Elephas maximus indicus: one gene and its partners. The protein of the gene in region 2 interacts with the protein of the main gene of each other region in a pairwise test. Links are inferred from orthologs where the notes say so. Each region holds a gene or a part of one and is shown on either strand. Other genes may lie near its edges.

Region 1 (3,747 bases), on a different chromosome or scaffold from region 2:
TGCCCCATAGGGTTTCCAAGGAGCGTCTGGCAGGTTCAAACTGCCAACCCTTTGGTTAGCAGCCGTAGCACTTAACCACTACACCACCAGGGTCTGGCACTCCATAAAACTTAGCTGTATTTCCTGAGCTATTGAAAAAGGTGTTTAGCTCCTTTGGAAAAAACTATCTGGCAAACAGTGCAAGATGAGGGGTAGGGTGAAAAGTGGGGCTGGGCAGAAAAGGCTAAGGGGAATGAAGAGAGTGCCTCCCGTCTCCCTCCTCACTACCAGATCGCTTTATCTTCTCCAAATGACCATTAGCCAATATTACAGGAGGGAGGGGAGTGAATGCATGTACTGTACAAACGTACCTGCCAACTCACTGCTGTGGGCGACTGCACTTTGAGAACCTACGATACAGACCCAAGCTGCCCAATACAGTGGCCACAGTCCACATGTAGCTACTTAGAACTTTAAAAAGATGAAATACGACTAAAATTTCAGTTCCTCAGTCACATTAGCAATACTTCAAGTGCTCAAAACGCCACAGGTGCCTAGTGGTTACCACAGTGGACAACGCAGACCAAAAGATCCACCAACAAATTTAGGAGGAAGTTATGCTTTTAAGTCAATCTATTTAGTGTCCCATGGCACCCCATTTACATCACCACTGAAGCTAAAAAGAAAATATCGAAGAGTTCACAAAGTGACATGCTATAAGCAAAAAGGTTTATCTTATAGAAAAAAGCCAACCAGGGCAAGCACCTGACTGGACCTATTAAAAGAAAAAAGCATCAAACATTTTTAATCTGCAATGAACAAAGGCTGAAGACTAGAACAGAAAGGGATTCCAGGAGACTCAACGCTACCCCGGAAAGGGACCATGAAGTTGGAAAAGTTGGTTTCCTTTGGTGAGAATCCCTGAGTTCTAGCTTTAGGGGTTTGGATTTTATGCTGAAGACAGAGAGAACCACTGCAGAATCATGCGAAGAAATGACCCAATGAACACGTAGCAGCATTTAAAACTTCTGCAACAGCGTGGAAAGCAGGAGATGATCCGAAGTGAAAAAACCTTGAAAAGGAAGCTCCAAACAAGATTTGGGGTAAAGGAGGTAATCACTCAGAAACGATTCCAGTATTATTTTCTGGATACTGAAAAAAAAAAACAATGACATGGAGAGGTGTACAAAAAGGATAAATATGTAGTTTTGGAAGGAGCCAATAAACCCACTTCCAGGCGCGAGTGAGGTGACGCTACTGCCCCGGGCTTCTCCCTCTCCTCCCTCCCAGGGGCCCGCAGAACTTCAAGGCAGCGCGTCCTTCCCCAGCCCCGGCCCCTCACGGGAGCCTCGGCCTCCCGTCACCCGTCCCCGGCCTCTCCTCACCGGCTGCGGCCTCCTCTTCCACTTCTTCCGTGGACAAGCGACTTCAGCAGCACCGAAAGCGTGAGCGAGCGAATGGCGGTCCCGCGCTCCCAGAAGACCCCGCGTTCCCAGAATGCCGCGCGCGAGGCCAGCCCCCTTCCTTTCTCCGGTGGTGGGCGCTGTCTCGCCTCGGCTGCCTCCTCACCCAACCGGATGGGAAACGCGGGCTGTGGCACTATAGTTCCGGCCCCGAAAAAGCGTGCTGATGACAGGGCCTGGGTGCCGCCGGAAACACCGATACTCGGGCCGGCAAGGGGAAAGGGGAGCTCGCGCTTCCAGGCACCCCACACCAAGGCCGAGTTGGACGGCAAGGCGGAGATGCGGGGCCTGGGCTCTCGGATCGGGGGCGGCAGGCTGTGGGACTAAGCGCCAGGACCTGCCCTCGCAAGTTAGCCGTTGGAACCCGGCACCGCCCGGTAAGGAGCGCCCCGAGCGAGGCGAGGTATCCATTATATGGACAGGGAAACTGAGGTATAGAGTAGTCGGAGTAGGGTTGGGTCTCCTGGAGACCCGGCGGAACAAGGGGCAGGCCAGGGATTATACCTGAGGGAGGCCCACAGGGGCGGAGCCTGACTTAAGGGAGAGCGCCAGCCTTCGGGGCGGGGCTCCAAGAAAGGGGTGGGGCTTCCGGGGATCCGCGGGGACGGGCCTGTGCGTCGGCGCAAGGGCTAGGGAAAGGGGCGGGGTCAAGAGAAGGCGAGACAGCGAATGGCCGGGGCAGGCTTCGATCAGGCGGCTGGGGAACGGAAGGGACTGGGCCTCCAAGCCGGGGCCCAGGTGGGGGCGGGGCGTCCGGGGCCGCTGCCAGGCAGGGCTGGGGCGGGGCTCGGGGCCGCGGACCGTCGCCTTCTGTCCCCTCCGCGGACCAGACGCGCCGCCGCCGCGCTCCCGCCCCAGCCCGAGCGGTAGCCTGCGCCAGGTCGGGGCCATGGGCGCCCCGCGCCGCCCGGGTCATGAGGACGGAGGCGGAGGCAGCGGGACCGCCGCTCGAACCCGGTCAGTGCCTCCCCAGGGCCTAACCCTGGCCCCGGGGGACGAGGGTCCGGCCGCGCGACCTTGGGCGGACTGCCGCCTGGGCAGCGCTCTGGAGTTCGGACGGGACGGGGCCAGCTGGACACCCCGCCCCAGCCCCACTTGCCAGTCGGGGTTTCATTGTCCTCCCGGAGCTGAGGCCCCTGTCGCCCGGCCGTGGGGCGGGGTGGGGCCGGTCCCGGCTGTGAGGCGGGGCGCCACCTTGCCTAGAAGCGGGAAGTCCAGCCGGAGACGCGTGGAAGATGTGTCCCCTCGGGGAACTGTGGAGGACGCTGAGGCTCAGAGAAGGGCAGGGGACTGGGCGGGAGCACAGAGCGAGTGCGCCCCTTCTCTTCCCCTTCTCAGACTGTGGTCAGCTCTTTTCTTGCTACATGTCTTCACCCTTGGTTCCTTCTGCCCTAAGGGGGCCTTTTGGGGAAGCAGAGGCCACTACTGGTGGGGCAGTGCCGCGGCCTGAGTTTGCTTGTCTGAGAAGGGGATAGTGGGGGAGTGCGGTGGTTCCTGCTCTGCTGAGAAGAGGTGCCAACTCAGGGAGAGGCCAAAGCATATGGGACTGGCCCTGAGCTGTCATGGATGGTGTCCTCACACGAGGGAGGGGTCGCCTTTGTTATTGCAGGGTGGAGCAGGGGTCTGATGCTGCCGCAGAGTGTAGGCCCTGCTCTCCAGTTAGCTCAGCTACGCTCTTGGGCAGGACATTGCCTTTCCTGAGCCTGAGCGAGTCCCGGCTCATATTTATAGGGGGTTTCCTATGAGGTGGGAACTGTGCTGAGTGGTGTATGTGCAGTACCTCGTTAATCCTCATGATGACCTCATGAAGGAGGCTACTGCTGCTGTTATTCCCAGTTTTACAGATGAGCAGACTGAGGCTGAGAGGTGGTGAGCACCCAGGGCCACTGAGCGCCCTCCCTTCTCTGATGACAGCTGCCAGCTGATGCCAGGGCCCTCCAAGCAGGCCCAGCTCTTGGGGTGTTCCTTGGTGCCATGTATTAACATCTGGTAGTGGCTGTGGGCTTGAAGGGCTGAAGCTGTTATCAGGACAAAAACCAAGGTCTTGCCTGCCCTTATCATCCTTCCACCCACCACACGCAGAAAATCACCTCCAGCTTTCTATAGAGTGGCCTGCCTGGGCCAAGGCTGGGGACAGCCACCTGGGGTTTTGGCCCTTTGGGGCCTCAGGATCAAGGGTTCTGGAGCTCAGGGCATGAGGAGGAGGGGTAGCTAAGACTCCCAGGGCCCTAGAGAATGCTGCCAAGCATGGCCACAGGGGAGGTCTGGCCACAGATGGCCTAGCTGGTGTGGCCAGAGCTGGTGC
Region 2 (3,747 bases):
TCCACTCTCTGTTTCACACTATTATTTACCTGTAACTCTTCCGTTATGCTTCTTTTGGACTCTAGAAAACACAAATGCTTTCTCTTAATCTGTTGTGTCAAATATAAGGTCTCCACTGGTCCATCGACTTCTCAAGGTCCAACCTTATCAAACCTGACCTGTGTTAGGTCCCACTGCTATCTCCTCACATAAATATAAATGTGCTTAAACACTGTCTTGGAATTGTTCTCTAGATTTTATGCTCTGGTTATTTTCCATACCTGTGCCTTTCTCTCAAATAGATGTATATTTTTTGAAGGAAGAAACCAGGTACTACTCTTGGCCCTTCCCAATCATACCCAGTTGTGAATCAATAATTGTGTGCACTTTGCAAAGGAAATTCGTGGAAAATCTAATGTATTGTTTAAAGAATGAATGCAGCAAATTACTGAAGGAACTCATGTGGAATGATAGAGAAATGCTGTTACAGGCTTTTGTGGAAGCGGGTATTATAGAGAACAGCTTGTCTCTGTAAGTCAATGGCCTGAAAAAGAGGTAAAAGATCCAAACTAACGGAATCTGGGGATTCAAATTAACACATATTTTATTCTGTAAGTTCATTAGATTTATGATTGGTATTTGGGGAGAAGGATAAACGTCACTTGAGGCAGACATTTTAAAAAACTTAATCAAAAGTAGTCTTTTCACTTGAAATTCAATGTGTACAGTGGCAAATATCACTGCTTAAAAAAAAAAAAAAAAAAACGAATAAAATTCATGTTTCAGCTCTTGCTCTCCCCTGAAGCAGGAGTGAGGGTCATCAAGATGAGAAGACATATAGTTCCTTGCCTCTAACACTAGTGGATTTCCCCAAACCACACACACAAAAAAAGCAACAGAAAAACCTGGATTTCTCCATTCTCAAATACTTTCAATTAGCAGATCTCTATTGTTGCTTGACTGGGGACCAAAAAAGAATCCGGAGCTTTTCCGTTTAGAGGTTAGGAAGACACTGGGTTTGGATAGGAAAGAAAAGATGGTTTTTCCTCCTGACGCCTGAAGGGATTTGAATTCTAAGAATTTGATGACAGGGGTACTACTATCTTAACTAAAAAGGACAGTTTCTTTTCATACCATCTTTTTTATAGGAGTTCCAGATGCCTAATTCCCTTTATAAATAAGAAGCAAACAAACAAACAAAAAAAGCAACAGGAAAGAAAAGCCTTTAAGAGGAGAAACCTAAGCCACAGTAAAGACTATAACTTGAACCTACAGCATGCCAAGTCTCTTCCAGGGGTTTGGTTAACATTCATAATGATGATTATGATGCCAAAAGTCATTATTTGCATGCAGAGGGTTTCCTTCCTCAAAGTACCTTGATCTCAGCATTTTTGGTTTCACAGAATCGAAACCTAGTGAGTCCTCACTACAAGGCCACCACCCTTTTCGGATTAACCCTGTGCCATTGAGTCCATTCTGATTCATAGTGACCCTGCAGGACAGAGAACTGCCCCCTAGGGTTTCTTGGTGTGGTTTAAATAGTTGGGTGGCTTTTCAGGCAGGAGGCCCAGCTGATGGGCTGTGAAAAACCCAGCCTCTCCAGTTCATTCATGCAGAGCCCACTGGCATCCTTCTGCTCTGAATAGCTCTAAGACCTCTCAGTGAGGTGAGTTGGGAAGGTATCACAGAGGAGGAAGGCGGTCCCTAGACAGGTCATGATTCTGTAGCTGTAAACAGTGCACATAGTGTACCCCTCAGAATATCTGGCACATAATAAGGGCTCAATGCAATTTCCCTAAACACCTTTAAAATCATTAACATTACCTAAATGAACAGTATTATTACTGCCATGGATTAAACACTGCACTTGTAACTAATGTCTCTAAAATTGGGTCACAGAAAATCTATAGCCTTGAAACGAAGAGCAACTCGTTTTTAGATTTCATGCCAACTTGCCTCCCCATTCCTAAAACGTCAGCTCTAGACGTGTACTTTTACTCACAGGTGAATGAAACAAATCACTCCTATCCTTCACCAATTCTTACTTATTTAGGGAGTCATACTGAAAAGTAGAATTCAGATATTGATGTGATAAGTGTAACTTTACAATAATATGGTTAATAATGTTTCAACCAACAAAAATGGCCAAAAAAAAAAAAAACTCTTAAAATTAAACACGAAACTTCAGTAGTATGCTTTAGGATATCTACGAAGCGTTGGGAAGAAAACACCAGGCTGTCAATGACTAACTTCTGATAAGCAGGTGTGTATTTAAGCCGCCCTGCTCCGAGGAGTCCACGTAGCGGACACGGAAGCGCAATTACTGTTCATATCTTGGCATTTAAGACAGTTAGTTAAACACCCGAGTGAGAAGCAAGTGCCTGGGCGCGCCCCGCCGCCTTGCCCCAACCGGGGACCTCCAGCGCACCCCGGTGCACTCCGATCTCAGGTGCCAAGTCACACATGCAAAGGGAACTTCCTCTTTTCGGGCACGATGGGGCCTGTGCGGTCCCGGGGCCCCGGCCTGCGGGCTCCTGCGCGGCGCCACCCCCAGGCCAGGTCCCCCCGGTCCCCGCCGCCCTCCGAGACCGGGTCGGGCGCCCCCAGACCCGCGCCGAGCGGGCGCCGCGCCCCGGCCGCCCCGGCGCTCCCGCCCGCCGCGCACCTGAGGATGTTGTCCGCGTAGGTGAGCAGCAGCTTGGAGGCCTCCAGAAAGGTCTCCGGGCTGTTCTGGCAGAGCTCAGCCACGGCCGGGGACGGGGAGCCCGAGGAGCTGCCCAGGGCCGCAGCCGCCATGCTGGAGCAGCCGCGGCGACACCGCCCCTCGCGCGCCGCGTCCGGCAACTGAGCAGGCGCCTCGGGGCGCGGCAGCCACTGCAGCCGGCGGGGGGCGTCGCTGGGGGTGGGGTGGGGTCGGCGGTCGGGGGCGGGGGCGGGGGCCGGTCAGGGGGCGGGGCCTCGGTCAGGGGCGGGGCCTCGGCCAGGGGCGGGGCCTCGGTCAGGCGGGGAGGAGGACGCTGGCCGTGAGGGACAGGGATGCCCAGGTGCTGGCCTGTCCTTCGAAGAAACACCGGTTTCTGGGAGCCTTAAGGACCGTCTGAATTCATCCAGACACGCGGGTGAGAAAACCCCGTTTATCTCCACCCAGCCTCGCCCAATGAAACAGTCTTCCAGCCTCTTGCTAGCAGATTGTCAGCCCCTACTTGATAGACATGGATGAAAGCCCCCGGAGGGAAGGAACCACAGACGTTCACAGTCAAACTCATGTTTCTGTTTTCCAATACAATGGTTCCTTTTAGAATTAGGCGAGTGATTGAAAATTTCTTACATATATCCCTGCTCAGACAGTATGATAATGCTGTATGAGAGAGCTTTTCAAACGGCTATGACCCATTAGTAGGTTGTAGACTCCACTTACTGTGTGGTGAGCGGCATAAAAAGCACACACAACAGCAAAATAGCATAGGATGGAGATGGGGAAGGAAGAGAATAAAATTATGCATCCCACCCACTAAGGGTAAATATTGTTTTGTGACTTTTGTTTCGCAAATAAATCATGTGCCATTTAGCCCTGGTAGAATTCGCACCCTTAACCTCTTTAATCCAGCATCTGCCCCATCGCGCCATGGAGAGTGTGTTTATCAGTATTAAAAATGGCTTCCTTAATTGCAGAAATTTCTTTCTAAACCTCAGCAAATATTTTTCCTGACCTTATGTGTGTTCTTTTTTTCTTGAAAACTTTGTTTAATGGAAAACTTTTCAGACACA
Region 3 (3,747 bases), on a different chromosome or scaffold from region 2:
AATAACATATTGATCTAATGGATTCTAAGTTTGTAAACAATTTGCCTGGTATCGGGTAGTCATTAACCAAGTTGTTCTCATTTTTCACATGAAAGGAAGAAATGAATTAAAATTAGAGAAAATGATATTAAATTGTTGTTGTTAGGTGCCCTGGAATTGGTTCTGACTCACACTGACCCTATGTACAACAGAAGGAAACACTGCCTGGTCCTGTGTCATCCTCACAATTGTTGTTATGCTTGAGTCCACTGTTGCAGCCACTGTGCCGTCCTCTTTTTCACTGACCTACTTTACCAAGCAGTATGTCCTTCTCCAGGAACTGATCCCTCCTGATAACATGTCCAAAGTATGAGAGACACAGTCTTGCCATCCTTACTTCTAAGGAGCATTCTGATTGTATTTCTTCCAGGACAGATTTTTTCATTCTTTTGGCAGACCACATTCTTCTCCAAGGCCACAACTGAAAGGCATCAATTCTCTTCCAGTCCTCCTTATTCACTGTCCAGCTTTCACATGCGTAGGAGGTAACTGACAACAGCATGGCTTGGGTCAGGCACACCTTAGCTTTCCAGGTGAGGACTTTGTTTTTGAACACTTTAAAGAGGTCTTTTATAGCAGATTTGTCTAATGCAATGCGTCATTTGACTTCTTGACTGCCAGTTTTAATTTTAATTTTAATGGTATTAGAATCCACCAAAGTCCACCCCAAGTCCCTGGGTTGGGCAAACAGTTAAGTGCTTGACTACTAGCCAAAAGGTTTGTGGTTAAACCCACCTAGAGCAGTCTCAGGGAACAGGCCTAGTGATCTGCATTTGAAAACCCTATGGAGCAGTTCTACGCCGCACCCATGAGGTCTCCATGGGTCAGAATCCACCTGACTGGATGGTAACTAACCACAGAGACCACCCAGGAGTGCCTCAGAAGGAAGGTCTGGCAATCTACTTCTGAAAAATCAGCCACTGGAAACCCTATGGAGCACTGAACTACTCTGACACACACAGGGTTGCTATGAGTCAGAACAGACTGGATGGCAACTGGTGGTGCTAACCTGTGAAAGTTACAGCATTTTCTTCCCTTGAGGGAAAAAAGGAACCAGACATTTATCAAGCAAGTACTGTGCTAGGATAATACAGGGATTGCGCACGGGCGCTTTACAGATATTACTTTATTTAATCCTTACACCACTACCATCAACAGCACCTCCAGTTTATAAATGAGAACAATGAGGACCAGAAAGGTTAAGAAATTTTCCTAAGTACACTTAACTACTAAGTGGTGGGACCAAAATGCACGTGCATTCTGACCACACCCATTTTTTCCCAAGGCCCCAGGCTGCCTCTTTAGTGATGCCTGTAACAGAAAGGAGCCCTCCTTGCAGTGGTTAAGTGCTCTGTTGCTAACCAAAGGTCGCCCCCATCAGCTGTTCTGTGGGAGAAAGATGTGGCAGTCTGCTTCCTCAAGAATTACGGCCTTAGAAACCCTATGGCGCAGCTCTACTGTGTCCTATCAAGTTGCCATGGGTCGGAATCAACTGGACAACAATGGGAGAAGGTCTATAATAGAAATAAGGTAGATGACAGCTTCCTGTTCCTTGATGCTGTTTACTACTACTCAGTTAACTTACAGGCACCGGAACTGTTTTACATCTGGTTCATCTCTAACCTTACACTGATCTCTCCATTCACCAAATTACTCATTTATGTACTGCTTATTTTGGCATTCAATCATACTCCATTCTAAAATATGTTAAATGAATTCATACCCCATTTCTCCAAAAAGTTCGCAAGCTTTCAAAAGGTAGAAAGAACTTTTAGACGTCTTCTGTTTGCCCAAAGTGTTCAGCACTGACTGTGGATTCGATGTCCTACTTATCTTTGCATTGCCCGAGTTAGACAGTATGTTGTTATACGGAAGGTGGTCAATATGTTTGTTTAAAGACGAGGAATGAAGGTGTGACCATAAAGTAATAGGACTGTAGTATGGAGCCTTGTGGATTCTCCTTTTTTTAAAATTATAGCTACTTACAGACCTTCACTTGTTCAATTTTATCAACGATCCCATAAGGAGATAGAAAAAAGACCTAAAATCATCACGTAAAGCAGTATTCGGTGCACTGCTATTTAGCTAACAAACGTGTCCTATAACATTATAAAGTTATATTTCTTCGTCTCTTTATACGGAATGTTTTACAGATTGTAGCTTCAAAATCTAGGCTGTACTGTAGGGTGAAAACGTTTAATTCACCCCCTTGAAACATAAAAGCTAAATGACAAAAAGGAATTATTTATATACACATGTCATCAGGTCAGAAACCGCATCCAGGACCAGAGCGGACAGACCTGCCCACCGGCTCCCACGTTTGAAGTCTCCGTTGATTCCCCAACGTCGATAATAAAAACTTCCTCCGCACGAAATCACCGGAAACACAAACGGGGGGGGGAGGACAGCACAAACGGCCCCACAAAACGCCATTCTAAACTGAATTGCTTGTTAGTTTCAGCAAATTGTAAAATGGGGTGGAGGGGAAGGGAGACACCGGTAGAAGACGGATTCCGGCACCTGTCTCCACAGCCACCCCCGCGCGATGCACGCCTCGGGGAGACGCAGCGCCGGCGCCAGGTTCTGCCCCCACAAGGAGCCTGAGGGGACCTCAGCCGAGGCCAGAGGCGGCCTTTGACGCGCGCCCGCCGTCCCTGCCCTCGGCCTCCCGCCGCACCTGCAAGTCCCGCGCGCTCGGGGGCCGCGGCACAGAAGCCCGTCTCGCCTGCTCGCCGTGCTCCGCGCCGCCACCCTCCGCCATCTTCCGCCGGCCGTCGGCAACCCCCCCCAGACGCGCCTCCCCGGGATTTCCGGGACGGTTGCCGGGCAACGGCGGGGGCGGAGCTACGCAGCAAGGCCGGCGGAGGAGGGGGCGGATCCGCTCTTGGCCGCGCCGCGCCCCTGTGTGGCCGCCGAATCCCCCTCCCATCGCGCGCCGGGGCAAGTTGGCGGCGATTTAGGGTTAGCCTCTCCTTTCGTGTTCCCCCCGCCGGAGGCTTGAGCCGGTGTAAACCGCCGCGGAGGGCAGTTACTGACCCCGGGGGGCAGCAGAGGCTCGCAGGGTCAGTGAACTCATCCATGAAAACTTCCCTGAATGTTTTAGCTGATGAAACGTGCAACCCCACCTTTCTAGCCTTGTTCTCTTCCCGGTCAAGATCCAGGTAAGCCCATCACCCCCAAAGCATAGAATTGAGGGTGAGAGCACCGTAAAGGCTCTTTGCAACCAGAACTAGAGACTCCTAAGCCCTCTTCATTCCACCGAGATTTAAACTCCTTTTTTTTTTTTTTATTCTAGGCACTGTTGCGCCCCGAGAATGCAAGGGTTGGGAGCAGAGAGATGTAAACAAATAATAAAGTGCGATTTCCAGTCGAGCTTTGCAGGAAGGGTTGTGAAAAGAATGTGTGAAGGGGAATATTCTGTTGGTGCCTGCTATGTGCACCATGCTAGGTGCATTACATGTGTTATATATCCCGCTGCCAGTAATTATTGTCATCGTGTTATTCGTAAAGAAACCACATGGTAAATAATTGACTAAGTTCACACTGTAGTAAATGTCATTACCAGATACTAAACCTTGCTTATGTTGTTGACCTGTTACTCTTATTTATACAACATTCTGCCCTATGAATTCCTAGATCTTCTTTAAAAAGAAATGCCCTTTACAGAAAGTGACATTTTAGCTGTTATAAGAAGGATAAGAACTTCAA

What was found. The genes of interacting proteins can lie anywhere in the genome.
Region 1: the proteins of NGLY1 (region 2) and GUCD1 interact in binary tests that used the Homo sapiens proteins (3 or more experiments, as listed by UniProt). The two-hybrid records come from large-scale screens. The link is inferred for Elephas maximus indicus from reciprocal best matches to the Homo sapiens genes NGLY1 and GUCD1.
Region 3: the proteins of NGLY1 (region 2) and UBXN2B interact in binary tests that used the Homo sapiens proteins (3 or more experiments, as listed by UniProt). The two-hybrid records come from large-scale screens. The link is inferred for Elephas maximus indicus from reciprocal best matches to the Homo sapiens genes NGLY1 and UBXN2B.

What each region holds. Positions count from the first base shown.
Region 1 is NC_064840.1:23,014,097-23,017,843, forward strand, and holds the start of GUCD1 (protein GUCD1), read left to right. Parts: upstream 1-1,564; 5' UTR 1,565-1,608; coding exon 1,609-1,819; intron 1,820-2,197; exon of another isoform or gene 2,198-2,356; coding exon of another isoform or gene 2,357-2,399; intron 2,400-3,747.
Region 2 is NC_064845.1:13,770,909-13,774,655, reverse strand, and holds the start of NGLY1 (peptide-N(4)-(N-acetyl-beta-glucosaminyl)asparagine amidase), read right to left. Parts: upstream 2,870-3,747; 5' UTR 2,776-2,869; coding exon 2,645-2,775; intron 1-2,644. UniProt on the Homo sapiens protein: Specifically deglycosylates the denatured form of N-linked glycoproteins in the cytoplasm and assists their proteasome-mediated degradation. Cleaves the beta-aspartyl-glucosamine (GlcNAc) of the glycan and the amide side chain of Asn, converting Asn to Asp.
Region 3 is NC_064837.1:73,906,775-73,910,521, forward strand, and holds the start of UBXN2B (UBX domain-containing protein 2B), read right to left. Parts: upstream 2,851-3,747; 5' UTR 2,801-2,850; coding exon 2,717-2,800; exon of another isoform or gene 1-2,716. UniProt on the Homo sapiens protein: Adapter protein required for Golgi and endoplasmic reticulum biogenesis. Involved in Golgi and endoplasmic reticulum maintenance during interphase and in their reassembly at the end of mitosis.